Linked DNA regions of Coturnix japonica. The protein of the gene in region 5 binds, or shares a complex with, the protein of the main gene of each other region. Links are inferred from orthologs where the notes say so. Each region holds a gene or a part of one and is shown on either strand. Other genes may lie near its edges. The genes, in order: MED8, MED23, MED18, MED31, MED7, CCNC and MED13.

Region 1 (3,974 bases), on a different chromosome or scaffold from region 5:
ACTGTTTTTCGGGTGGGAGATACTCAGTAGTTTCACCAACGTTAACATGAAAAGTGAAGGTAAGCCTGTGGAGAGCAAGTTAGTGGCTTTTAATTACACTTTTTGGGCAGAGTCTAGAAGAGCTTCAGCAGCGATCAGTGACAGTGCCCTGTCTCTGTGGGATGCCTTACCATGTGAGTCGATCGTACTCATTCTCCAGCTTGTAGATAAAACTGACCAATGAGTTCTTCAGGTCAGCCACCTGGCTGATGAGTGCCTCCAGGGTCAGCTCCAGCTGCTTCTCCTCTCTCTGAAAAAAAGAATGAAAGATAGGGGTGAGGACAAAGCTTTGTACCTTTCCAAGGACTGTGGGGATCCATACATCTGCAACCATATTCCACCCTCTCCTATGGAGAGACTCCTCTTCAAGGCAAGGAAACAGAGACCACGTAGATAAAAATCCTACATTTTCACACTTATCTTGTCTCCTTGTAAGAAACATTTAGGAAGAGACTCGTACCTGAGCCAACCCATGGCTAGCTGTCATTTTTAAGATCTAGATAAGTAAAGCCTATACATCACTTGCATCAGGCAAAGTCATCAAAGTTACCTTGCACCACCTCCGTGAGTTATTCATGCTAACCCAGCTGAAAGCAGATTAGCATTCTCAGCACCCTTTGACAGCAGGCACAGTGATGTCTTCACCCAGCACAGCCATTTGCAAAACAAGTATCAGATCAGTGGCCCAAAGACTCCAGTTTCTGCCCTTACCCTCATCTCTCACTTTCTTCCTGTCCAGGTGCTGCATCCAGCTCCTAAAAATTCCTTGTCCCTTACCAGCTGTGGAAGGCGCTGCAGTGTCAGTGACGTAGTTAGACACATGCAGAGATCACCTGCTGCCTTTTGCCTTGGTGCACTGCTTAAATAATCTTCTCCCCTAGCTGAGAGGAGTATGGTGACATACAAAGCAATAGGAGAGGAGACCTGTTGTCACATATAGCACAGAATATCTCCGACTCTTGCGAAAACCCTCTAGAACCTTATCTATTCTTACTCATTCAACAGAATTGCACAAAATGTAATTAAAGCCCCAATCCTAATGGACTGCTAATGTAAGTCAAGGACTGTACAACAATAATCCACGAGGAGGGTGAGACACAGCAATACAGTTAAATAATAGAAAGGGAATGCTGATTGGGAAAGCAGATGGGGTGACTCAGTCTGCTTGCACGCTCACTATTGGGATCCTTGTGCTGTTTAAACAAACTGAAACTAGCATGAGATCATCAAGTATCTTCCACATTTAAGAGAACATGAAATTATTCTACTCACGGTCTGACAAGACTATAAAGGTTTTGTTTTTTTTTCCATAGACTGCTGATAAGACTTCACTACCTTAGAAGAAATGGCAAAATAAATGTGGCTAAAATCCACTTCCAATCCACAGCATGGATTAACAGAGCAAACCACGGGGTTACAACTCACAGCTACAGCACTGCAGCTCTCCGCCATCCTGTGATGGGACTAGTCTGTTCCTGTGCACTTAAGAAACAAGTCTAACGCTGACTGTGCACGTTGTGTTTGAGCAAGATGAACCACTGACAGCACTACGAGTTGGGCTGGGAGCCAGTATCTCACTGCAGAGGTGGCAGGTACACACAACCAAGACAACTGGTGTGGCCCATTGCCAGCGCGTATCCAAGAAGCCCTAAAGATTGTGAATGAAATCACACTACACTGTGTGACAGTGCAGTCTGAGCCTCCTCCTTTTGTGTGCTCTCTCCATGAGAGCTGGAAGTAAGTTTAAGCACCGCAAAGCACACGTGCACCAAGATCAATGATTCAAAGAAATACTCTGCCTCTCACAGACATATACAAGCAGCAATTCAAGGAGTCTGTTAACAATACTGAATTGTCCCAGGGTAATAAAATAGGATTTACGGGAGAGACTGCTGAAGGAACTCCTGATAATGAATGACTGGGAGGTAAAGGTGAAATTCAGAATAAACATAAAGCAATACACACAATGAAACAAAGAGAAATAAACAACCCTGACTTTACACACACACAATGACATTCTCTGAGCTGATAACATTATCACTCACAAACAAGATCTGAGGATTATCCGAGGGTAACCCAGGGAAACATCAGCCTGAGGCTCAAGAAGTCGAGGAAATCAAAGTAATAATGGGATTTATTAGGAAAGCAAGGGATCCTGTCACTGTTACCTGGGAGAGGAGGCCGACCTCCACCCCATTGTAAATATTTGGAGAGTTTAAGGGAGTCATGGGGTCCCTCTGAGCCTCCTTTTATCCAGACTGAACCATCCCAGCTCCCCCAGCTGCTCTCTGTAATGCCTCCACCCCTCACTTTCCCTGTCGCAATCTCTGGACACGCTCAGGTCTCAATGCCCTTCTTGCTTAAGGGGCCCAGAACAGAACGCAGCACTCGAGATGCGGCCTCAACCAATGTCAGCACAGAGGGACGCCCACCACCCCGCTCCTATAGGATACACTGAGCCTCCACGAGCCAAGATACCATAGACCTTCTCGAACAACTGGGCACACTGCTTTACTCCTCCAAAGCCCGGCCCACGGGGCACAGCGGAACCCCATACGGGCCTACTGCTCCCTCTAGCCTAGCCTAGCCTAGCCTAGCCTAGCCCAGCCCAGCCCAGCCCAGCCCAGCCCAGCCCAGCCCAATACAGCCCTGCTCAACCCCATACAGCCCCTCACCTGCATGGCTGCGCGGCCCTGTTGTTATGGCAGCCTTCCACTTCCGAGTCAGGTCAGAGGGCGCGGGGCGGGGCCGCCGGGCAAACATGGCGGCTGCCGAGAGGCCCGAGGCTGAGGTGAGGGGTAACGCGCTGCGGGGCGAGGGGAGGCGGGGTTGTTTGCGGCTTTGAGACCGGGAACTGTGTAGAGAGGTCGGGGGTTGTGGTGGTGCCCGGCCTGGAGTGACGAGGCGCTGTGCTTCTGCTGCAGGTGGAGGAGGCTGGGCACGTCTTCCTGTTGATGAAGAAGGACTATCGCATCTCCCGCAACGTGCGGCTCGCCTGGGTGCTCAGCCGGCTGCACCAGGTCATCTGGGCTGTGCCCGAGCCCGAGCTGGTGAGTGGGGGCCGGGGGTGCTGCAGGGTGGATGGTGGCCCTGCATCTCGGCGTGTCCTTTGGCTTGGAGTAATGTTTCATGCTTGTCGTTCGCTTCTTGTTGTAGTTGAAGTCAGAAAACGAGCTGGATGTGCTCAGCATCCTGCCCAACGGATGGCAGCCGGATGAGCCCGTCCAGCCCCGGCCCTACCTCTTGGTGCCCTCCACGCGCGTTACGTTCCTGGCCCGCCAGTACCGCTTTGTCATTGAGCTCGATCTGAGCCCTTCCACTGGCATCGTGGTGAGTCCAGGAGCTGCCTCTCTGGGGTGTTTTGTGTTAAAGGACCAGGCTTGGTTCCCTCTGCTGAGAACATGTGTGTCCCTGCATTAGTGGTCACTCCTGCAGGGGTCCTGTGTTCCTGAGGGCTGAAGCAGGCACTGCTGCTGGCAACACAGCCTTGCAGTGGATCCTGTTTCCTTGCAGAATGTGTGACCTCTGCTTGCAGGGGTCGTTCTGAGGCAGCTGCTGTTGCAGAAATAGGCTTGTACTTGTCTCTGTGTGGTGGGTGCAATGAGATTGCAGATTCCAGAAGATGTAAAAGCTGTTTTGTTTACCCCATGCAGTGCTGCTGATTTAGGGGCTGTGGCTGAGAGCTTTATGGAGGGAGAGGATCTAGGAGTGTTAGCTGACAGCTGGCTGAACATGGGCCAGCAGTGTGCCCAGGTCTCCAAGAAGGCATCCTGGCTTGTATCAGAACTAGTGTGGTCAGAAGGACTGAGGAGGTGTTCAAAAGCTGTGGAGATGTGAGGTGCAGTTAGTGGGTGTGGTGGGAATGGGTTGATGGTTGGACAAGGTAATCTTAGCTATAATGATTCTATAATTCTCCTCTTCTGTTTCTGTAGGAT
Region 2 (2,437 bases), on a different chromosome or scaffold from region 5:
GGAACTACAAACTCAAAATTTTCTATAAGGCTTCTGATAGGAATGTAATTGTCTTAACACTTACATATCCTTTACCTGTATGTGTTTATATCATTCTCTCAACTTCCTGCGAAATATTGTTAAACTATATAAATATACCTAAGACTGTAAAAGCAAGTGATTGCAGTATTAGTGGTCATGTTTCAGTAGATGTTTTGATCTTCTGAATGTAAGGAAAGGCTGAATAATTTTCTCTTATTTCTTGTTGGCTATGTGTGCAACAGTTGTCCTTGTGACCTTCTTCTTTCAAAGTGGTTTCTTTCTTTGAGGAGGAAAAAACAGCGTGGATTTTGTCCTTCTTATTTTTGATCCATGGATTTCTCTGGAGCATTTTCCTCGAACCTTTGTTTATACTCTCTGACATTTGTACCTTGCTTTTTGTTTTCATGTTTTTTGGTCTGTCTGTGCTTGTACTCAGACAATTTTAGGTCTCTTTCCATGAAGGCTTTTAACGTCTGCTCTGTTCCTTTTGGTCTCTTTTACAGTAGCTCTCTAAATAATTAAATTAATGAAATATGTTGTGATAACATTATGTCCTTGAGTGTACCCCATCCACAGACATGGATGTGTTTGTTTTGTATTATGCATCTTAATTTTCAGGTTCATCAAACAGGCATATAAACTGCTATCTAGTTGAAAACATCTTAAATATAACAGTGCTTCTCATCCTTTCTCTGCTGTTGTCTATAATGCTCTTTGCAGAAAGAATTAAGACTCTTTGTTTTTCCAGGAACCATACTGGATTGTTCTCCATGACCACATTGTGAGTGTTATCAATAGTCCCAGCTTGACATCAGAGACAGAGTGGGTTGGTTACCCTTTCCAGCTGTTTGACTTCACAGCATGTCATCAGTCTTACTCTGAGATGAGTTGTAGCTACACTCTGGCTTTGGCACATGCTGTTTGGCATCATTCTAGCATTGGACAGCTGTCTCTCATTCCCAAGTAGGTGTAATTATATTTGATTATTTGTTTTCAATTTTACATGTTGTATATACTGAAGCTGTACCTGTAGTATTTATACCAGCAAATATGTAGGGAGTTGCACTGAAATCCACTCAATAAATCACGAGTCCTTTTTCAGCTCCCTTTTTCCCCCCCCAGCATAGCTCTTATTATCTGTAAGTTTCAGAGCTCTCATCTAGAGTGTGATTGCTTTTCACGACTGCCTTTTGAAAAATTTCTATTAGTTGTATGCTTGTTTTTGTTCATTTAAACTTTTCCTAAAGTGCTGATTGTGGTATAATTATAAGGTGTCAGCTACGGCCGGTGTGTCTTTAATTCTGGAAAGTACCCTGTAGCTGCTCAGTGAGATGCTTTGCTGATTGAATGACACAGTAGTGGCCCACTTAGTCATTAAGGCAAGGGAAAAGTACCACTGCATTAAAAAAAAATACTGATTTGACTTTCCACAGTGCTGTGTTAATGGTAAGACTAACAGCTATCATTTGCTAATAACAAGTTTTAACGTACTGGGCAAAAGTGGAGGTGGTATGATGAATTCCTGTCAATTGGTTGTGACCATTGATTTAAACGTAATGTTAAAACTCCAGAGGACAGCATTTCCACTGTACATAGCATTCTACTATGCTTAGGTGGGATTGCTTTTCTCTTTGAGAATATTTTCAAAACATCACAGTAATTTCTAAAACAAAGGCTCAGATCCATCGGAGATAATCTGATTCCTTAGCTGAATTTTGGGCAAAAGGAGGAAAAACGTCTGGCTGAAGTAATAAGTACTTTGGAAATATTACAGGTTCCTCACAGAAGTGTTGATACCCATAGTGAAAACAGAGTTCCAGCTGCTTTATGTTTACCACCTCGTCGGTCCTTTTCTACAGCGGTTCCAGCAGGAGAGGACACGATGCATGATAGAGGTAAAGTAATAGCTCTTGGATCACGTTGTACAGCATCCATTATTTTTGCACTGCAGTTATATTATAAAGTCTGACAGAGATGTGTCATAAACATCTGGAATTGAATTCTATACAAATAAAACTGTTTTTAAAAACAAGCATGGTCTAGATAAAAGGTAAACATGGTCAGCATCTCTCTAGAAGCTTCAAAACTTGTTCTTAACTGTTCATACTTAAATGGATTTTATAGGCTTTTACTCACAGCATACATTCAGTCAGTGGTGTTTAACTATTGCTTGCATCCCATATACCACAGTTTCATCAATACACCACTTAGGAAAAAAGAACCATGTGGTTAACCATAATGGGATTGTTTAGTCTTGCTCATTTGTCCATTTGTACTTGAAAGAAAGTAAACAGTTAAGAAATGCAGATACTTTAAAAGCAGTACACATTTCTTAAGCTGTATAACTGTTTCCAGTGTAAAGTGCATTAAAATGTTTTCATTTTTTTTGTGTTTTTGGAGACAGATTGGGGTGGCC
Region 3 (3,668 bases), on a different chromosome or scaffold from region 5:
CCTTGGGTTGTGTCTGAAGCTGTATGCCGCTTCATACACATACACTACAGTGTATGTAAAGCACTTAGCAGAAAGCAGCTTGACTGTGTTACCGAGGTTGCTGAAGTGAAAGCTGGAATATCCACATAAGCTGTTGATGTGTGAAACGTCTCACCCTGCACTCGCATATCAGAAGCATGTTAGACAATATAGAGTGCTTCCAAAGTTGTACTTCAGCTTCTGTGTTCATTTGTACAGAAATAACAACATTAGGGGAGAGTGTGTGGGGAGAATGGAGACCCAGGGCTGAGGAGTGCTGGAGATACAGCAACATTCGTGCTGTTAAAGCATGACAGCGACTGACAGCAATTGGTGTGTTTTAGTAAAAGGCAGCGTGGTTGTACGTTTCCATAATGATCTTGAGAAATGAAGACTACTTCATGTTTGCCCAAAATACTGGCTTGTATTGAGTGAAAAAGAATTGCAAAGAAAATACAAAATTAATGCAAATAGCTGACGGGTATTTTTGAAGATATATTTTTAATAAAACATACAAAGAGCACAAAAACACAGAAATAGTGGGATGCCTGACCTTGCTTTTGTGAAACTAATGCATCGTGCTGGGCTGATGGAAGTGGCTGTAAGCAGGAAGGAGCCTCTCTGTGCAGCCTGCTCCACGTCACCCCCAAATGAAGCAGTAATTCCTCACTTTGAGATGGACCTTCCTGTGTCCCAACACTGGGCAACAACAGTCAAAGCCTGGCCCCATCCACCTGACTCTCTACAGGCACATTCGGGGGCACTGGGCTCAACTTTCTGAGCCAACATATTGGCTGTGAAGGGTCTTAATTCTGTTTCTTCCCCCCAGGTTATAATTGCAGACCCAGAGCTTCCTGTTCTACACTAACAACAAAGCTGCTTCCAATAACAAACAGCTCCCAGTCTGGATTTGCTAGGAGGGAATCTTTCAGGTCTTTCAAATCTAAAACTAAGCAATTCCTGCAACTACTCCTTTCAGACATCAGGGACCGACTATCCAATGAATAATGCACTAAACAGACTTTTATTCTCTTCCATCTCTGGGAATTACATACATTCTGCTCTTATGCATATATGTAACCTGCATAACCAAATACCAAATGCTGGCTGAGCATCAAACAAAAACAAAACCAATACATCAAAGCCTTTTACCCCTTGCTCCCCAACAACATAAAGTCAATATCTCTATTTATAAGTGTTGCACCTTAATACTGCTTACTGCTCCAGCACAGAGAGGAAGCAGTGGAGCCCTGAACAAAAGTTCTGTGTGCATAGGACTCCAACCAGTCCCTGCACTCACTTCTGGCTACAGCAATGCTATGATAGTCAAGCCAGTTTTCATCACATTAACCTCTTAGGGTCAATTTTTTCCAGGTGTACTAAAGGCTTCAGCTGCTCTGCAAAGTTCCTCATATCATCAGAAACCATATCCTGTCCGGCTGGTGCCACAACATTAAGCTCTACAAGGTAGGAGAGGGAAAGCGGCTCGATGCTGTCCGTGTTACCAGGCATCAAGATACGGAAGATCTTATACACCACAATCTTCATGATCCCCTTTCGGAACACGTGTCCCTTAGCCACGAACTCGTGATCCATACGGAACCCCATCTCCACCAGGAAATCCGTCAGGTTGTCCGAGGTGGCGATGTCCACACAATTTCGCACTAAAGCGTGTCGGTTTTTATCTCCGATCTCCGGCTGCCCCAGGTACCTCAGGTGCCATGGCATGCCGCTTTTATCCATGGATCGCCGGGCACGCAGCACGAAGGGGCTGGCCTGCTGCCCCTTGAGCAGGAACACCATCTCGTGGTCCAGGAAGGTCTCCGGCTCCATGTTGTCGCACAGCCCACGCAGGCGGTGCAGCAGGCTCTCCAGGCTCTGGTCCAGGACGCTCCCTGTGGTGGACACACACGGCTCAGACGATGGCCCCTTCCCCGCCGCAGCGCGGGGCCGAGGCAGGCGGCGAAGGGGCCTCCGCGGGGAGGTACCTCCCCTTCGCCGCCCGCCTCGGCCCCACGCTGCGGCCGAGCCCCGTGTACAGCCCCTGTGTGCCGGCCATACCTTGCAGCAGGTACTCCATCATGTTAATAGTGCCGCCCGTAACGGGCATCATGGTGACGGGAGGCGCCTCCATCTTGGCGGCTGTGGTAAAGATGGCGGCGGGAAGAAAGGCAAGGCCTGAAGGAGGAGGCGGGCGCCACAGTGCGGCCTGGCGGTGAGGAGCAGCCGAACATCGACCAGCTCCCTTTCCTCCTCACAGACATCCAGTTATTCATCCCCAAGCACACAGCACTGCCCCTTAAAGGCAGATGTAAAGAAGGCATCGAGGAACTCAGCCTTCTCCTCCTCAGAGAATCCCAGCCTTCTCCTCAGTGATCACGTTCCCCGCTGCATCAAGTAAAGGTTGGGCATTTTCCTTGGTTCTCCTCTTACTTTGATGTACTTGTAAAGGGATTTTTTTAATGTAACGGCTTCTGCAATACCAGGTGAGAAGTGCTGGTATCACAGACCCACTTCAGTCTTTAATACTGCACTGTATGCTGGACAGTTTTCCTTAACCTTTTGTTTGCTAGGTTATTTCACTGCATCATGAGGTAATCTGAAAGTATCACAATTAAGCCAGTAAATCTAGGATTATTTTACTCAAACTGAAAAAGAAGTTCTGTACCAAAATGTACACGACTTAGTCATAATACAAAATGTTAATTCTACAGCCAGTTAAATCCATCATAATGAACGTTGAGCCACTGTTTATTGTCAGTACAGCGTTACTTTAAATAAGCTCACTGAGTGAACACAGAAATAAAGTAGATCTTCCTCAAATAAAGTGACAGCTATTAACAATACTCCAGGAAGATGTGCATCCATGGTATTTGCATGCTGTCGTAGCATATCTAGCATGTAGTACGTCTTCATGCTTGCACAGCAGCTTTGTGAGCTCATTACAATAATGTTGATTTGGTGATGCACTACAAGACAACCCATATGACTTACATTGAAGCTGAATTTTAAAGAGCACCTCTGCTAGACACCCGTTTAAAAGCTCCACCACATTCCTGTAGCGAACACATCTAGGCCAAACCACTGATCTGCCACCACCTCTGCCCCCTAAGAAGATCATCAAGCACATGAACAGTTCTCCTCCCATGATCAGCTGGACAGGGTGATGCTGACAGCAACCTTCCAGAAGGTGAATCAAACCAGAACACGCCTGTGTTTTCTATATTACATTAAGAACACCTGAGACTGCTTCACTGGTCCAAGTACAGAATTTTAATACAAAATCTGTTGCATTAACATGACATTTCACTGAATTCCCTTAATTAGTACATTCCATTAAAAAAAAAAAATCTTAAAATAAATATTCCCCCTCAAAAAAGTTTAAAAGGAATTAAAGCAAAAAATAAAATAAAACAAAAAACAAAACAACCCCAACCCTGTAGTATTACAGAACAGTGTGATTTTCTGACTTCATTTATCTCAGTGTAAGCAGTAGATTCACACCTCTTCCTGGGGAATAAGTGTCAAACACCGAGAACAAAAGATAGTTTGTAATATGCCAACACACCGTGCCTTGAGAGACTTCTTTTAAAAGAAATGTAAACATCTGTTACTGATTCTTGTTTGAATGCAGCACTCCTATCCAAAAC
Region 4 (3,975 bases), on a different chromosome or scaffold from region 5:
AAGGTGCACTAGAACTGGAGTCTCCAGTATCTCTCCATTATTTTAGTCATTTAGTGCCTTACTCAAGTACCTGAAACAGTGAGCGCTGTACCTTTTCCATACACTGTAACTTAATACCTTCAGTAACTACAAGGCTAGAAAACAGGGAATCCAATAACAATATAAATACATACACGGAGCTGATTAAAATAACTTTTATAAATACTAGATTTCATTAAAACAAAAACTAATTAATTAAATAGCTCTTTCCAGAGCTCATTTGAAGTAAACAAAAAAAATTTCAATAACTGAGTTTAAACATTAATTAAAAAAATGAAAAAAAACGATTCTTTGTGTAGCTATCAACAGGGCAAAAATCACTCTCAGAATGTTCTTAATGGGCTGAAGTAGTTTTGTCCCGTGATGTTCAGTAATCTTGCTTTATGCAGATAGAAGGTGCAGATAAAGGTTGCAAATGGAAAATTCCATGCATATGTCAAGAATGAAACGTTCTTTAATTGTGCCTATCCCAGACTACAGGAAACAGGAAAATTTATACTGCATATAAACACAGTGCATGTTTTGGCTGCAGGGAGAAATCAAATATGCACATGCTACTTTACAGTGCATAAGAGAAGGTAAAAATCATTAAAATGCAGAAACCTGAGGGCTTTTAATACTTACTTCAAGTATTTTGCATATTCAGGTTCTTTCCAATACAGTAAATATTTAAGATAGTTTACAAAAGCTTTGTCTTTGAAGTATCCTCTTTGTGCAAGAACTGAAATAAGAGACAAGGAATTTTTTACAACTCAATAAAAAAAAAACACAAAGGGAAAAATATATCTTAAGTCAACACTCTAATACAAGTTAAGCATAGTGAGTTAGCATATAACTTTTATACAGCAACAAGGATGCGATGTCTTCAAAAATAGGAACTTCTGACATCAAAACTGTCAGGGAAAACCAAAGAAATTAAGAATTCCACCTGAAACTATTATAAGCATTAGTGAAATGTTGGTTTCAGATATGAGTACTTCTAAGATTGAAATGTAATTATTATTATTTATTTTCTACTACAGATGTGCACTTATTCTCCACCAGACAGTTGTGTTTTATTTCAAGAAATAATCATTTCACATTTTAAAGGTGTCATCTCCTCCCTCTTCTACCTCACCTTTGAAATTCGGACAAATTAAATTATCCTCAGACTACTTTTTTCCTTAAAGATCTCTTCCCTTTTCTTTGTTTACCCTTCGCCTCTGCACACACACACACACACACACACACACACACAGTTTACCATTACACGTAATCATTAAACTGTTAAATAACATTAACTTCTCAGGATCCCTGACATTAAGTACTCACAGTTGAGGTAATTGGGATTTGCTAGGCACTGAACAAACTCCAACTCCAACTGGAACCTAAGTCGATTTCCTGTATCATCTGAATACAAGAGAAAAAAAAAAAACAGTAAAAACTGGACTTACATGGCAGATTTAAAAGTAAGTTTCTCAACTTGAGCCACAAAAATAGAAACGTTTAGAGAGGAGATAAAGCACCAAGAGCCCACAAGTATGGGCTCATCTAGCAGTCTTTTCTATTACATGAATAAGTGTTGGGCCCATGTTAATACATGTACTATTGTTTGTTTGTTTTTTTAACAACTAAAAACGATGCAAATAATGGAGAAATGCTCTCTGACACTTTATGTAGAATATATGAAAAGGGAAGGGAAAGGGGCCTGCTTTTAGTGCAAGGAAAATATAAGAAGGCAAGAAAAGAACACTACCAGCAGCTCACTGAAAGCCTCCTTGCACATAATTTAAGAAATGCTTACCGTGAGGCTGCTTTTTGTTTTGTTTGTTTTGTACAGAGATGTCTCAGTTTAGTGAGAATCCTGCAGTGTTCTCACACTATTGGTGTACAGTAGGCACTGATGACAGACCCAGGGGTCAGCACAAGATTCTGCTGTCCTATGACAAAAGGGTGAGGGAGCTGGGCTTGCTCAGCCTGGAGAAGGCTCAGGGAGATCTCACTCTGGTCTTTCAGCGTGGAAAGGGAGCTTATAGAAAAATATGTTGACTTTCCACCCTGACTGAAAACAACAGAACAAGAAGGAACAGCTTTAAACTCAAACAATAGGAAACTCAGGTTAGATGTTAGGAAGAAATTCTTCTCCGAGGGGCGGTGAGGCCCCGGCACGGGCCGCCCCTCTCTGTGGGGGCCCCATCCCTGGAGCTGCACAAGGGAAGGCTGGAAGGGGCACCGCGCAGGCCGCTCTGGCGGGAGGTCCGATCTGTAAATAAAGTCCCCTCCATCCAAACACTCGGGGTCTATAAAAGATTCAGCTCCTCGACCACAGATGCAACGTGGGATGTCCGCTGCCATGGCGTCCGGGCAGGTAAGAGCCGCGGTGTCTCCATGAACGTCGCGAAGGGCCCCAACGGGGCCAACGGCCTGAGAAGGGCCAAGCCGGGAGGGCAGCGCAGCAGGACCGCCCCGGGCCCCTCCCGAGGAAAACGATTCGGAGCCTGTCGGCCCATCGCTCCCGAACCGCCCGAACTCTGCACGGCAGGACCACCGACGCTCTCCGTGGCCCGGAGTCGCTCGCCCTGCCCGAACCGCACCGCACCGCGCCGCTCACCTGCGTCCATGGCGGCGTGCTGGGCTCCGCTCCCCGCCCGGCCTCAAAATGGCGGCGGGAGCGCCCGCTGTCGGCAGGCGGGAGTTAGGCGGGAGGCGCAACGAGGCAAGATGGGAAGGTCTGTGGTGGTGAGGAGCTGCGTTAATGATGCGAGTTGTGTAGAAAATGACCTTTTGAAATAAACTAAAGTTGGAGCAACTTTTTTTCCCCTTGTCTTGAAAGAGAGCTGTTACCAGACAGGCAGTACGATTGGAAGGTACCTGTAGGAGCAATGTTCTGGGATGGATTTTTTCCTAGGCATGTGTGTGCTTTTCTTTCTTCCCTTTCCCCTTTTCCTTTTTCCCTTTTCCCTTTCCCTTTTTCCCTTTTCCCCTTTCCCGTTCCCTTTCCCCTTTCCCCCTGGCAGCTCATGCTGAGCTGATCTCACACAACCTCTGCAGTTTATTTATTAAGAAGTTATGTCGTAGTGAAACCAGTTAAACAGATGCGCCAGGGGTGCAGAACAGCACTATGCTATTGCACCTGGAGAAGAGTTCAGCACTTAGGTTGCAGATTTATTCCTAATGCTGCATTCATGTCTGGGGTCACACACTGGATGTTCATATCTTGGTTAAAACAAAGACTGGTGGGGTTTAGCACTGTCAAGCTACCTGAGTTCCATTGCTGCTATGATTGCATTATTAGGCACTTGTGTAACAGTTTGCACTATACAGGCTCAACACGAATCCTAATTCTTTTTTAAAATTTGTGATTTGTTAAACTATTTTCAGTGTCTCAGCATTTTCCTGTAGTGCTATCTCTTTCTATGTAGTGTAACTGTTCCCCTCCAGCCCCAATAGAAATTAGGCTATAAGACCACCTAAAAAAAGACTTCTGCATTGCTTTCCTTAATAAAATAATTTTGTGTTTTGTTTCTTTTTTCCCCAAGGTTTTAGTGGTTGTGGAGTACTACCATTACTATAACAGAATTAGCAGGTCACTCCCCAGTAAATACAGACTTTTGTCTAAAAGCAGAGATCAAACATATCCCACGCATTGGCAGTGCTATTCTGGAACACGATGTATCTCCCAAGACTGACTTCAGAGGAGAGAATCCTAAGAAAGGCTTGGTCACATGAATTAAATTACTACGTAGGTTTGCCAGAGTAAAGTGCAAGAACGCAATTCTTGGCCATCAAAACTAGGAACAAAATTGAAAGTTGGAGTCATATTACAAAAACTAAGAACATTCTCTAGGAAAAGCTGGATTTATTTATGCTTTTAAATATTAGCTTAGTCAGACTTTCAGGGAAGAGGTATTAAGCTGTGTGTTTGAGCCAAGAATTTTCCTTTTTATCATCATCAAA
Region 5 (3,518 bases):
TTTAGCTACAGCGATCTCAATCCCACCACCCAATGGTTAAAATCTACCTGCACATTTAAATAAATCTGCATGCCTGAAAACAGCTGAATTATCCAAGTTATAATTTGCATAACGAGAGTTACAAGTAGTTATAGTAAGTTCCCTCATCCACAAAGTTGATTGTTTCTTTTCTTTCTCTCTTTTTTTTAAAGGTGCTACATCTAGTTTGGAAAGCAGACATGCTACAGACAGGAGGGCTTGAGTAACGAAGCCACTTATCCATTATCAAATCACTCTTTGTGCCATGGGCTTGATCCAAGTCCAGTTCTCTTTAAACACAACTGATGTAGCTTCCATTTGACAGACTTCAGGCACAGACAAGTTACACCACATTACATGTGTAATAAAGCAATTCTTAAGTTCTTTAACATTGTTACATTACTACAAAAAGTTAGAAAGGAATGGATTTCTCAGGCTTCATATTGATTTCATCTTCAATCTAGAATAACTGAAAAGACCCATTTAACGTGTAAACAACTAACATTTATTTGAAATGCAGGAATTGTCAGCTTCCATTTCAGTCAGCCAAACCCCCTGCTTCCAGCAGCACACGGCATTTACAAAATGAAGCACATCCCAGAAAGCTGCAAGTGACAAAACAACGTTATACAAAAAACCTAACAGCATCCACGCTGCACAAAGCAGAGTTATGTTTTGACCAATACACATATAACTCACACAAAATATTAAATATCCTCACCTGCTTAGCAGCTCACACCCACCCCCCAAGTCAGTGTGAACGCTTCAAACAAAATACAGCATGTACCCTCAGAATCCATTTGGCCTCTCTCTATTGTAAGTTAACATAAGACACGATTCCTTCATGTCATTTCATCAATAATGCTGCACATAGCTGCATCTTTGTCTAACACCTGATCTCTCTTGCAGCCAGAACGTTCTCTCTGTTTTTCACTCTGTCCAATGCAGTTGTTGCCGTCATCAGTGTCCATTGGTTCTGTTTTCACTCCCAGTCCCCCCTCTGAATGAGGAAGATCATCAGGCAAGGACGCCAGGCAGTTCTGAATCATCTCCACAACTCGCTCTAAATGCTTCTGAAATCGCTCTGCAGTTTCCAGACGCTGACGTTTCTGCACTTCCATCATGACTCGCAGGGTCTCCCTAGCTTGGTGAGGACGGTACTCGTTTATAAGATGATGGACGTGAACAAAAAGCAGTTTCAGGTCCTCCAGTTTCTCTTCTCGCTTTATACTCCCCGGACTCCTTATCAAGATATCCAAGAGATCCAAAAAGTTGACTAAGATAGACATGTTCAGTTTCCTCAATTCCTTTTTGTGATCAAACTGCATGGGATGCAGCCGCTCAATACCCTGGCTTTCCAAAGGTCGGATAATTAAATCGTCACACTGGAACTGATTACCAAACATCATGTAACTGTCTTTCACAGGTGGAGGTGGCTTTGGGGCCAGACCTTTGCGTATGTTTTCATCGGTGTATTCCTTTATATACTGCATTGGAGGCGGAGGGAGGGCACTCACTTGCTGAGGTTCACCCATCTTTGGGGATTAAAATACCTAGTGGATAGAAAAGAAACGTGCATTACATAACTTATGCGACAACTCCACAGCACGCATGAAGCTAAGAAAACAAACCAGACAGGAGATTCTTCAGCACGCAAATAGCAGGAAACTCCCCAATAAATCCACGTCAGCTTTGCACTGACATACACAGCACATTAAGCACTTCTCAAACCAGACCTGCCAACGAGGAGGCACAGAAGGAAGGAGAGGCCTGATCCGCTAAGCCCGCATCCCAGGGCTGGGAGCGGCAGACAACGGCAGGCAGGGAGAGGCAGCCCTTAAAGCAGCACCCCCCTCCCCCCCGGCCCATCACTACAGCACGGCTCCGGGAGGGCCCAAAGCCGCAATGCTGAACAGAAACAAAGGCTGGGCCGGTCCTACACACAAGGCCCAAAGAAAACACCCCACTCACCTGCACACCGCGCTGAAAACACCACCGCCACCACCGACACCAACACCTCACATCCGGCAACTGCTCTCCTTCCTCCTCCCCTCCATTGGCTCGCAGCTCAAATGGCGTCGTAGACTTTGGTTGGATGCCCGCAATGCCAGTCAGGAGCTCGTTCCACTCACAGCCTGGGCTATGGCGCCCTATTGCGGCTGCCAGGGGCACGGCAGGGATCTCAGCGGGGGTCCCAGCAGGGTCCTCTAATGGCAGAGATCCTCGAATGGCAGAGATGGGAGCGGCCGGCCCGACTCTTGTCGGCATCAGACTCCCTGTGAGACCAACTTCTGCATGAATTGGTGTTTAGTATTTGGTATTCCAGGACTGCTTTCATAGACTCGTAGAACTGCCCTCGTTCAGACGCTTCCTGGACTCTGGTGAGCTCAGTGCCCAGACCGTGGGGAGCCGCCGGTGTGATGGCAATGCTTTAACTGCTGAATGATGCAGGGAATATATGTAGAGCTTCCATGCAACAGAAATTTGGGTGTTATTCCATCACAAAGTGAAAGCATCACCCTGGGAAGTGTTAGCATCCTTTCTATAGCTGAACACATGCAGCCTGGATGCATAAAGTCTGCAACAAACCGATGGAACTTCTTGCTTTTCTTCCATTTCTTTGTTTAAGACAGATTTTAAGGAAAAAAACAACTATCTGTGTCTTCCATATTGCCGTGGGACCTCGGGCTGGCTGGCAGCGCTTCTGCAGATGGCCACTGGTCTGGCAATGCGGCTTTTGTGCTCTGATTTCCTTTTTTCCTCAGCAGATGGCAGTAACCTCCTTCATAAGAAGGAATAAGGGTAAGAGAGCCGCTGTCTACGTGCCCTATCAAGGGCAGAGTTGTTTCTAAATATTACTTCAGTGCACTCTCACTACTTTGTAGGATTGGCAGGTGTTGGTTTGCAGAGCAAACTGTTGCAACTCCAAACCCCACAGACAAGGAGTTAAAAGCACCACTTCTAGAGAGGAATGAGAAAACCCACCTGGTGGGGGATATTAACAAGTCTTTGCTATTGTTAGACTTTCCAGACTTTGATTTCACATTCTCATACCACGAGCTGAGCTCGATTATCAGCTGCCTTGCACTCTGTGAACTGCTCAGTACAGCTCTCAGTGCTGTGACTTCAAAAGGTAGCAGGGAGCCAAGCATTTGTTTTTCACACGTCCTTTTGATCTTGAGTCATTTTCCTAGTTTGCACGTAGAGGCCAACAAATGCAAAAAGAAAAAGGGGTTTCATTTTCATTCTTGGTAGTATGACTGAGATGACTGAGAATGAAGGTGAGTACCACACACAGCATTCTCAATTTTGCTTTCTACTCCATTTCTGTGGTTTTCTCAAATAGGGACACTGTCCAAGACAAGTCCACCAGTGATAATACAGCTCAGTTACTACAGATCTGTTGGAATGAACCCAAACACCACTTCAGCAGATGGGGAATCACTTAAATGAGGTTCTCTGCCACAAAGATAGAAGACCTTAATTTATTGCTTTAGTTA
Region 6 (3,500 bases), on a different chromosome or scaffold from region 5:
ATATAAAAATCACTTTTAATGGCAAGCCACAATTTTCTCAAAGCAAACCAAACCAGTAATGAACTACTTGTTTTGAGTGGACAGTGTTACCCTTCTGCAGCTTGGTTTAACATTTGATTCCTTACACTGAGAAATCTTAGTACATTTGCTCCAGCGTCAGAGAAAATGATGCAGTTTTAAAGAATAAACTTCCAAAATGCTTGACACAAACAAGCTATTTATTCTTCAAGTTCTTTGTCAAAGATGGTATTAAAAAAATTCTGTCCATTTCATGAACACAGGAAAGATCCCAGGATGTCTTGAGTCAAAGTGGTCCGTAAAGAAGTTCTTTGGAATGTCTTAAGATTGGCTATAACTAGAGTTCTGGCTACCGTTTGGACCCTGTTCTCCTTCACTGTTTGAAAGGAAAAGAAACACGTCTCAGAACAGCAGCACCGTACTGCATTTCTGTCTTTTGCAAACAGAAAACATTTATTCATGTATTTGAACAGCGATTTCAAAATATTCCAATGCAACTCCATTCTGAATTCACTCCTGAAATCAGCGTTTCAGAGTTCCCATAACAGAAGCTCACACATAGGAATTTGCACGTGCAGATTCCACGTAATGATATTTAATCACAGCAATTAAACATGACATCAAACAGGCACTGTTCTAAAGAATCGTGCCCTTTCATCAGGCCTCACACTGCTCCTTTTAAACTGTATTGATCAGATTCTAACTACATTACTGCTTTCCATGAAAGAGCAAATATTCTCCTCCTGAACAGTCTGACTGGGTACTTAGAGGAAAGCCGGCAGTGCAGTCATACACTATGCCTCAAACTTAACATAGCACATAAGATAATACTTTATTTTTTCCCATATGAAAGGTGCAGTAAATAATGGAGGTATGGTACCTGTTTGGAGGTGGTTTTGGTTTAGGCATTTTGCTAAGGATAGTAGCCATCTCTTTTCTCTCATCAAAGTTCTTCCACTGCTCATACAGCTTCAGAATAACCCTGATTATTTCTAAAATCTGATTTGAAAGAAAGTACATTTTAGGTCAATCACAATAGTGACTTTTATATTTATATCATCATTTGCAGTGTACAGTTAATTATCCATTTCTCAAACTCAAATTAAGAAGCATAATTCTCATGATAGAAACAGAGCTGTCTCCTATATAATCCGGTCTGGCAATCAACCATTTTTGCAAAGAGTTTTTTGGCTTAACTGTTGAACTGAAGCCTGACAGAACCAATATCTCTCTCTCCCACTCCATTTCCCTCCCACTTTATCAACCATTTCTCCTCCCAAAGTCGAACGGCTGCTTATATTTGATGCTACTGGGAAAACAAGGACACTTGGCAACGTGTTTGTTGCTAAATGATTACGGATTACAAATGAAGTAACTGATTATTGTCTGTGTTCTATACCAGCCATGGGGGCACAGTACTAAAAACAAATGAAACCAACCAACGGTGCCCTGAATTCTTTACTTCCAAAATAATAATAAAAATAAAATTAAAAAAATCAAGAGCTAGGAAGTGTCTCAATACTTTATAATAAGAACTGTTGAATTTTCAAACTCTATTTCCAGAAGTATAAATATTCTCTACCAGTTTGGAGGCTACATTAATTTCCTGTTAATTTTCTAGTGCAATATTCTACACAGAAGGTGGATAAATACTGAATAACCCCACTTGCAAGGGACCCACATGGATCAGGTCCAACTCCAGCTTCACAAAGTGCCACCCAGAAATCAAACCATGTTTGCTTCATTATTTGTTTCGCCACTTACTAAATTAATGAAGTAAACTTCTTTCCAGTTTATGGACTTTGATCAAATGCTAGAACAATATACATCCTTGAACCAGAAACTATGTTTGGCTATGAAGTTCCATAGTGTTAAAGGTTAAAAATAATAATAATAATCTAAAAATTAATTTTTTTTAAAAAAAATCAAGCTTAGATGTAATCACTGGTAATGGGAACAGAAACGTTTAAACATTCAAACACATTCAACACCAAGCCTATGATAACCTTACATGTCAAACATATGTTGTTTATTAGAATACTGTTCAATCTTGAGCAATAAATATTGGGAATTCTTTTTTCTTCTAGCAAAAAAATTAAATAAACAAACAAGATACTGGTTTTCTATTTCAGTCTGTAAAATGGCAACAGCAGCAATGCTCTGCCCTTATGTCTTGTCTTTCAGTGCAGAGTGATACCCAAATGACCTGACATTTCCTATCTCCTACCTAATTTCAATAGTCCGTAATGCGATTGCTGAATGAAGTTCAAATCAGTATCACACACATGCAAAACAGGTTCAAACCACTGCTAACATTTCTAGTCAGTCCATAGCAGAGGGCAGGAGGTAAAAAGAGAGTACCTTTTCCATATCAACAGATAGCTCAGCAAACCATTGCCTCGCATCCTTCTGCTGGACAACACAGGCCACGTGTAGGCAAGCTGCAAAGATCAGGTGATAAGAGTGAATCATTGTTGAGTATCTCTTAATACACTTAGAAATACTCTCCAAGTCAGGTACTTTTCTATGGTGTTTGGAGTTCCTCAGTTCCTCTGCAAAAAATCTCAGCGAGTTTTCAAAGAAGAAATCTGGGGATTAATTACCTGATTTTTCTTCAAGGCTTTCTAAGTTGCAAGGTTATACTGTCAGTACTGTATGAAATATAAACTGGAGAAGCTTAAGAGAGCGTACTAAGGAAAACTTGTTGATGGGACAAAGTACAGAAGGCATCTATTTAAAGGTGACAGTGACGTTACTTGTGTTACTTACCTAGAGCTATCATGAAAGGAGGGTACAGCAGACAAAGATCAGTTCTATACGTGTCATTCACTATCCTCCTGTGCAAAACAAAGAGAGCATAACAACTCCTTTAGACTACATGATTCATAAACATTTTGCCAGTTACCCATGTGGTAGAAACAAAGAGTATACAGGGCAAAATAGAGAAAGTGAGATCTCTTCCTCTTTAAAAGTCTATTAAAGACAACCATTGTTTTCCTTGCAATCACTGCAGAAGTCTGTTTGGAAACACTATTATAACATCATCAGTGCCATTCTGCAGAGTGTGTTCTCTTCTACCATAAATTAATTATCCCTGCTCCGCAAATAAGCAAATTGAAGCAAAAGTAAAGGTAGTATTTTTATTGTCTGTATTGGAGAAACAATTAAAGTGTTTAAGGAGTTCTGTTTTACCAGTCTAAGAAACAGAACCATGTACTGCTTTTACTGAAAGCTGACTCTAACAGAAAGATAGCTGTGTCTACACAAAGTCGACATTTAACAGTGTAAAAATGGTGCTATTGGAGCTGTTCTAAAAATAAAAACCAGAGCATTTCAAAGTAGAAACCATTACAGGGTTAAAAACAATAATTTAAGCCAGTGACACGTGTGCATAGGTTAACTAGTATACCCTTTGTATTATTTAGCCTGCTAAGCCATCTCTGAGGCATAACTGTTAAACACTCGCTTTCTTGCTGAAAGGA
Region 7 (4,225 bases), on a different chromosome or scaffold from region 5:
CTGACAGTTCTTCCCATTATCACCATAAAATCAAAGTTGTAGATTATGGGAATACATTTATCTTATCTCTAGACAACAGTTTATCTCACACAGACTTCTGTAAGGGCTGGCAGGAGAACACCAGGAGTAACAGCACTGACCAAAAGAAGGTATTCGTTTCTTCCTACCTGAGAGATCATGATGGATAAGGTCAGCAAAATTGGGGTCATCACCCCACCAAAATATCCACAGCTCCCTGCGTCCAGGTCTCTGGTCTCGGCGCCAAACACTGAGCACATCTGCCTTCAGACAGCGACTGAAGCTGCTCAAAATAGGGTCCTCTTCCGTCACCGGAAAGAGAATGGGGGCAGACGTTGGACCCTGCCATACGTATCGCTTCCATTTAATCCCAGTTAGATCAGCCTAAGGGAAGGAAAAAAAGAAACCATCAGACATCGGGGTATGTTCCCAATAGAAACAGCCAGCTGTAACAGGAACCACGCTTCTAAGCTCTGCGCACCTGAGAAGGTAAATTGGAAATAACCAGGCACCTGGTTTCTAAATCTCCTAATAGCTGCAGTAAAGTGAGAGCTGAGCGTTTTCACTGCAGCTTTAAAGCGACAGAGAAAAAAAACACCCCATTTGATTTAAAACAAAAAATGAAAAACGAGCAACAATTAGCTAATTCTTTGCAGGCTCCAAATGTCCAATCTTAGAAGCGCTCGCCTTAGCAAATAACCACTCACTTCATGCTCACTTCTGCTTACGCTGCCTTTTGAAATCCAAGATTACTCTGAGGATACAGGAAATAGGGAAAAAAAACCCAGCTCAGCCACACGTTCTGCCACTCCTCTGCTACTTCAGAAGATTTCACTGCTTCCCTATTGTAAAATTCCCTATCGTGTGCAGGAAGCTCCTCAAGCTCACTTATTTCACTCTGAGCCATCACGCTTTTCATTTCCCACCCCACGTTTTAAGAATTTAAATCCTGTTTCTCTCATTAAATTACACATCATTGGTTATGATCCACTAAATCCCCTTCTGGGCAAAGCTTCATCCGACTTTATAGAGCGAAGAGCTACCACCATACCTAGAGGGAAAGCGACAATTCCTGGATTATCCCCAACCCAGCACCACACTAAGTTCTAACACTGAGCTTCTCCCCCTCAAGCACTTCAGCCTTAAGGCCCTTTGGGGCTGCAATGCCCCTTAGTTCCCATCAAGAAGGCAGCACGGAGGCGAGGTGCTACTTGCCAACAAGTTACTGATTTCCACCTAAGATCACTGCAACATTTAAACCTAACATGGCAGCCTTCTACCTTGAGGAGGAGAAACAATTTAGATGGAAGCTACGGGGGCTGCAACAGTTGACATTCAGACAGCCTGGATTTACAAAGGTGGCAGCAGAATGGGTTGCAGGCCCCAAAGGGGTTCCCCCATCCAGCAGCTCCCACAGCCTGGCATAGGTTTTGTTGGTTCGGTGGATGCTTTTACTTATAATGATTTCAATAACAATGATGATAAAATACATCGGGCAGCCATCTGATATCGGCCGATTTGCATTAAGCCGATGAAGGAGGTGAGTGCAGCACCCAAATTGCATCACAGCCCAATGAAATCCAATCTGCGCTACCAAAAGGAAAAAAATCCCAACAATTTCGTACTGAGGTTGAATGAGGGGGGAAGGAAAAATAAAGAGCACAAAATGGTGCACAACGCATAGAAGGCTTTTGCAGAGTGCTTGGGGGTCTCGGGGTAAAGGCGGCGGGGGGTGGCTTAAAGGCAGGGAGAAGGGTTTGGGCCGTGGGATGCGTGCAGCGGGAAGGGAAAGGAGAAAGTTGGCCGAGGGGAGAAGGCACAGCTCCCTTCAGTAAAGAGGTAAAAGAAAGCCCAAAAAGTTGAGGGCAGGGCCGGAGCCGCGAAGCCCGGGCTGAAAGCGGAGGGAGGGGCGAGGCGAGGCGGCGGGGGGGCACGGAGAGAGCTGGGCTGCCGCCCGGCTGGGCCTGCTCCGAGGGCTCCTCCAGCAGAAGCTCTGCTAAAAATGGCTGCTTTGCTGCCACTGCCCGGCCTCCTCCTCCCCTCCCCCGGCCGCCTCCCGTTCCCACTCCGCTCACGTCGCGCGTGTGCGCGGCCTCGGGCGCTCACCAGGCAGAAGAGGTTGGAATGGCAATCCTCCAGGCTGGCCCCGTTCGGCACGAAGCAGGAACTCATCCTCACAGCCACAACCCACACGCCATTATCCCACAGCCTCCGACAAGAAAGAAAGAGACAGACAGAGAGAGAGGGAGAGGGAGACAGACACTGCGAGGGGACGGGGGAGGGGGCGAGGCACACGCACAAATAATAATGCAGTTAAATAAGGGCTTTACGTACACACATACACACACGGAATAGTGGTAGGATAAATAACCCGGGAGGGTGTAAGAGAGAGGAATGGGGGGGGGAGGGGGTTAAAAATTATTGTTATTATTTTTTAAAGAGAAACTCAGAGCGTTTTCTCGTCTGGATATGAAATAAGAAGGAGGGGGTGGAGGATAAGGGGAGGCAAAGGGGAGGACAGAGGGAGGCGGTGGGTAACGCAGCGCAGATTGGGATCAATCCCCGCTCCTCTTCTGGAGGGGTGATGTATCCAACAGGAGAAAATGGGGTAACGAATCCTGGGGGGGGGTTAATGGGAGAACCCGGCCGGCATCTCTCCTTCCTCTGATCGCGGGGAAATAAATAATCCAACGGGGTAATGAATCCTCCTCTTCCTTCGGGGAGAAAAGGGGCAACAGCGCAGCGCTCGGGTAGGGCCCGATCCTGGGCTCGTGGCTTCGCAGTCCGAGGGCAACAGGGTATATGTGCGTAAAGGGGGGGGGGGAAAGGAGGGGGGCTTGGGGGGGTTCTTCGTTTTCCCCCCCTCCAAAAAAAAAATAATAATAATAATAAAAAATTGCCAATAAATTAAAAATGTAAAATCATCAAAACAAACGCGAGGGGCCGGCGGTGAGGAGAGCCGGAAGGGTTGGAGAAGGCCGAAGAGAGGAGATCGTCCTGGGGGGGGGAGACCCCAAAAACCATCTGCGGGAGCTGATGGGGGGGGGGAAAGGAAAAGGAAGGGAAGGGGGGGATCCTGGAGAGGGAAAGGCCGCAAAAGTCTCCTCGGGGGGATGGGGGGAAACGGCCCCGTCCCCGAAATCAGCGCTGATCGTGGAGAGGGTGAGAATCCGTCCGTGGGGGGAAGGAGGGGGAGGGGGCTGGAACTGCGGGCGGCCCTCGGAGTCTCGTCGGGCGCGGACGGAGCGTCCCAATGGAGCCGTCGGGGGGAATCGCTGAGTCTTCAGGGGGCGGCCAACCCCCCCCCAACCCGGCGCCGGGTCACGGCGGGCAGCGAGGGGCCTCTGGGCCGCAACGAAACCCTCACAAGCCTCAACCCTTCACCCCCCCCAATTCCTTCCCGAGGTGGAAGGCGAGGAGGGACTGGTCCCTTAAAAAATAATGGTTAAATAAGAGAAAAAAAAAAGGAAAAAAAAAAAAGCGGGGGGAGAGGGAGGGAGGGGGAGAATAAAAATATCAAATGATGATCTTCAGCCGGTTGGTTTCTTCTGCGATGGGGGGGGATGTGTGTGGAGGAATAAGGGGGGGGCTCTTGCCGCCGCTCTCCTCAGGTGCGGGGGGCTCGGGGGGCTCCGGGCGCTGCGCGGGGGCGGTGGGCGGAGGAGCCCCCTCCTCCTCCTCCTCCTGTGGATGAAGTCTCTCGTCAGGAGGGCGGGGAGGCGGCGGCCGAGCCCCGGGCTGTGCTCCTCAGCACGAAGGGAACGGGCTCGGAGCCCCCCCACCCCCCAACCCCGACTGAAGGACGAGTCGGCCGCTGATCGATCGCTGATTGATTGATTGATCGCTGATTGATTATCGCTGCTGCTGGGCTGCCCCGGAGCCCCCGGCTCTGCTCCTCCTCCTCGCTGTCCCTCAGCGGTGCCTCTGTCGGCGGCTGCCCGGCCGCGGCATCGTGTTCATCATCCGGCTGCCCCCCCTCAGCGCGTGTCCCCCATGTCGAATGTCGGCCGGGTCGGGGCTCAGGGCACGATCCTCCCGCCGTGTAATTCTGAGCCCCTTTTTCTTTAATGGCGGACACAGGGACGAAAGTCGGGGCCCCCTGCCGCAAGCTCATTGGGCGACGTGCCGTCACGTGGGTCCGCCCGGCCATGGCCGCCGTCGCCGCCGGGGGAAGCAGGGCGCCGCGCCGCGGACACCGGGCGGCTTC

Evidence for each region.
Region 1: MED7 (region 5) and MED8 share a complex: the UniProt entries of both Homo sapiens proteins name them as parts of the mediator complex. The link is inferred for Coturnix japonica from reciprocal best matches to the Homo sapiens genes MED7 and MED8.
Region 2: MED7 (region 5) and MED23 share a complex: the UniProt entries of both Homo sapiens proteins name them as parts of the mediator complex. The link is inferred for Coturnix japonica from reciprocal best matches to the Homo sapiens genes MED7 and MED23.
Region 3: MED7 (region 5) and MED18 share a complex: the UniProt entries of both Homo sapiens proteins name them as parts of the mediator complex. The link is inferred for Coturnix japonica from reciprocal best matches to the Homo sapiens genes MED7 and MED18.
Region 4: the proteins of MED7 (region 5) and MED31 are in contact, whole or in part, in a cryo-EM structure (PDB 7EMF), measured with the Homo sapiens proteins. The link is inferred for Coturnix japonica from reciprocal best matches to the Homo sapiens genes MED7 and MED31. Residues at the interface, in NP_001094286.1 of Homo sapiens: Met15, Gln16, Tyr17, Ile18, Lys19, Tyr21, Thr22, Asn25, Ile26, Lys33, Pro34, Pro35, Pro36, Pro37, Ile38, Lys39, Asp40, Tyr42, Met43, Met44, Phe45, Gly46, Gln48, Gln50, Asp52; in NP_057144.1 of Homo sapiens: Asn14, Arg15, Leu16, Arg17, Phe18, Gln19, Leu20, Glu21, Leu22, Glu23, Phe24, Gln26, Tyr33, Phe36, Leu37, Tyr42, Asp45, Ala47, Phe48, Asn50, Tyr51, Tyr54, Tyr57, Glu62, Tyr63, Lys65, Tyr66, Lys68, Tyr69.
Region 6: MED7 (region 5) and CCNC share a complex: the UniProt entries of both Homo sapiens proteins name them as parts of the mediator complex. The link is inferred for Coturnix japonica from reciprocal best matches to the Homo sapiens genes MED7 and CCNC.
Region 7: MED7 (region 5) and MED13 share a complex: the UniProt entries of both Homo sapiens proteins name them as parts of the mediator complex. The link is inferred for Coturnix japonica from reciprocal best matches to the Homo sapiens genes MED7 and MED13.

Annotation. Positions count from the first base shown.
Region 1 is NC_029523.1:17,388,685-17,392,658, forward strand, and holds the start of MED8 (mediator of RNA polymerase II transcription subunit 8), read right to left. Parts: upstream 2,801-3,974; 5' UTR 2,721-2,800; coding exon 2,715-2,720; intron 775-2,714; exon of another isoform or gene 757-774; coding exon of another isoform or gene 751-756; intron 290-750; coding exon 171-289; intron 1-170. Other genes in the region: KICSTOR complex protein SZT2, read left to right, coding at 2,801-2,830, 2,964-3,089, 3,196-3,369, 3,972-3,974. UniProt on the Homo sapiens protein: Component of the Mediator complex, a coactivator involved in the regulated transcription of nearly all RNA polymerase II-dependent genes.
Region 2 is NC_029518.1:51,950,080-51,952,516, forward strand, and holds part of MED23 (mediator of RNA polymerase II transcription subunit 23), read left to right. Parts: intron 1-769; coding exon 770-984; intron 985-1,795; coding exon 1,796-1,916; intron 1,917-2,425; coding exon 2,426-2,437. UniProt on the Homo sapiens protein: Required for transcriptional activation subsequent to the assembly of the pre-initiation complex. Component of the Mediator complex, a coactivator involved in the regulated transcription of nearly all RNA polymerase II-dependent genes.
Region 3 is NC_029547.1:21,930,463-21,934,130, forward strand, and holds MED18 (mediator of RNA polymerase II transcription subunit 18), read right to left. Parts: upstream 2,266-3,668; 5' UTR 2,153-2,265; coding exon 2,080-2,152; intron 1,914-2,079; coding exon 1,360-1,913; 3' UTR 501-1,359; downstream 1-500. UniProt on the Homo sapiens protein: Component of the Mediator complex, a coactivator involved in the regulated transcription of nearly all RNA polymerase II-dependent genes.
Region 4 is NC_029534.1:8,576,617-8,580,591, reverse strand, and holds the start of MED31 (mediator of RNA polymerase II transcription subunit 31), read right to left. Parts: upstream 2,801-3,975; 5' UTR 2,640-2,800; coding exon 2,630-2,639; intron 1,429-2,629; coding exon 1,351-1,428; intron 761-1,350; coding exon 664-760; intron 1-663. UniProt on the Homo sapiens protein: Component of the Mediator complex, a coactivator involved in the regulated transcription of nearly all RNA polymerase II-dependent genes.
Region 5 is NC_029528.1:6,561,722-6,565,239, forward strand, and holds MED7 (mediator of RNA polymerase II transcription subunit 7), read right to left. Parts: upstream 2,096-3,518; 5' UTR 1,990-2,095; intron 1,783-1,989; exon of another isoform or gene 1,755-1,782; intron 1,572-1,754; 5' UTR 1,554-1,571; coding exon 861-1,553; 3' UTR 501-860; downstream 1-500. UniProt on the Homo sapiens protein: Component of the Mediator complex, a coactivator involved in the regulated transcription of nearly all RNA polymerase II-dependent genes.
Region 6 is NC_029518.1:64,955,311-64,958,810, reverse strand, and holds part of CCNC (cyclin-C), read right to left. Parts: intron 2,856-3,500; coding exon 2,788-2,855; intron 2,460-2,787; coding exon 2,380-2,459; intron 1,018-2,379; coding exon 899-1,017; intron 395-898; coding exon 340-394; 3' UTR 1-339. UniProt on the Homo sapiens protein: Component of the Mediator complex, a coactivator involved in regulated gene transcription of nearly all RNA polymerase II-dependent genes.
Region 7 is NC_029534.1:6,168,710-6,172,934, reverse strand, and holds the start of MED13 (mediator of RNA polymerase II transcription subunit 13), read right to left. Parts: upstream 2,801-4,225; 5' UTR 2,191-2,800; coding exon 2,125-2,190; intron 403-2,124; coding exon 168-402; intron 1-167. UniProt on the Homo sapiens protein: Component of the Mediator complex, a coactivator involved in the regulated transcription of nearly all RNA polymerase II-dependent genes.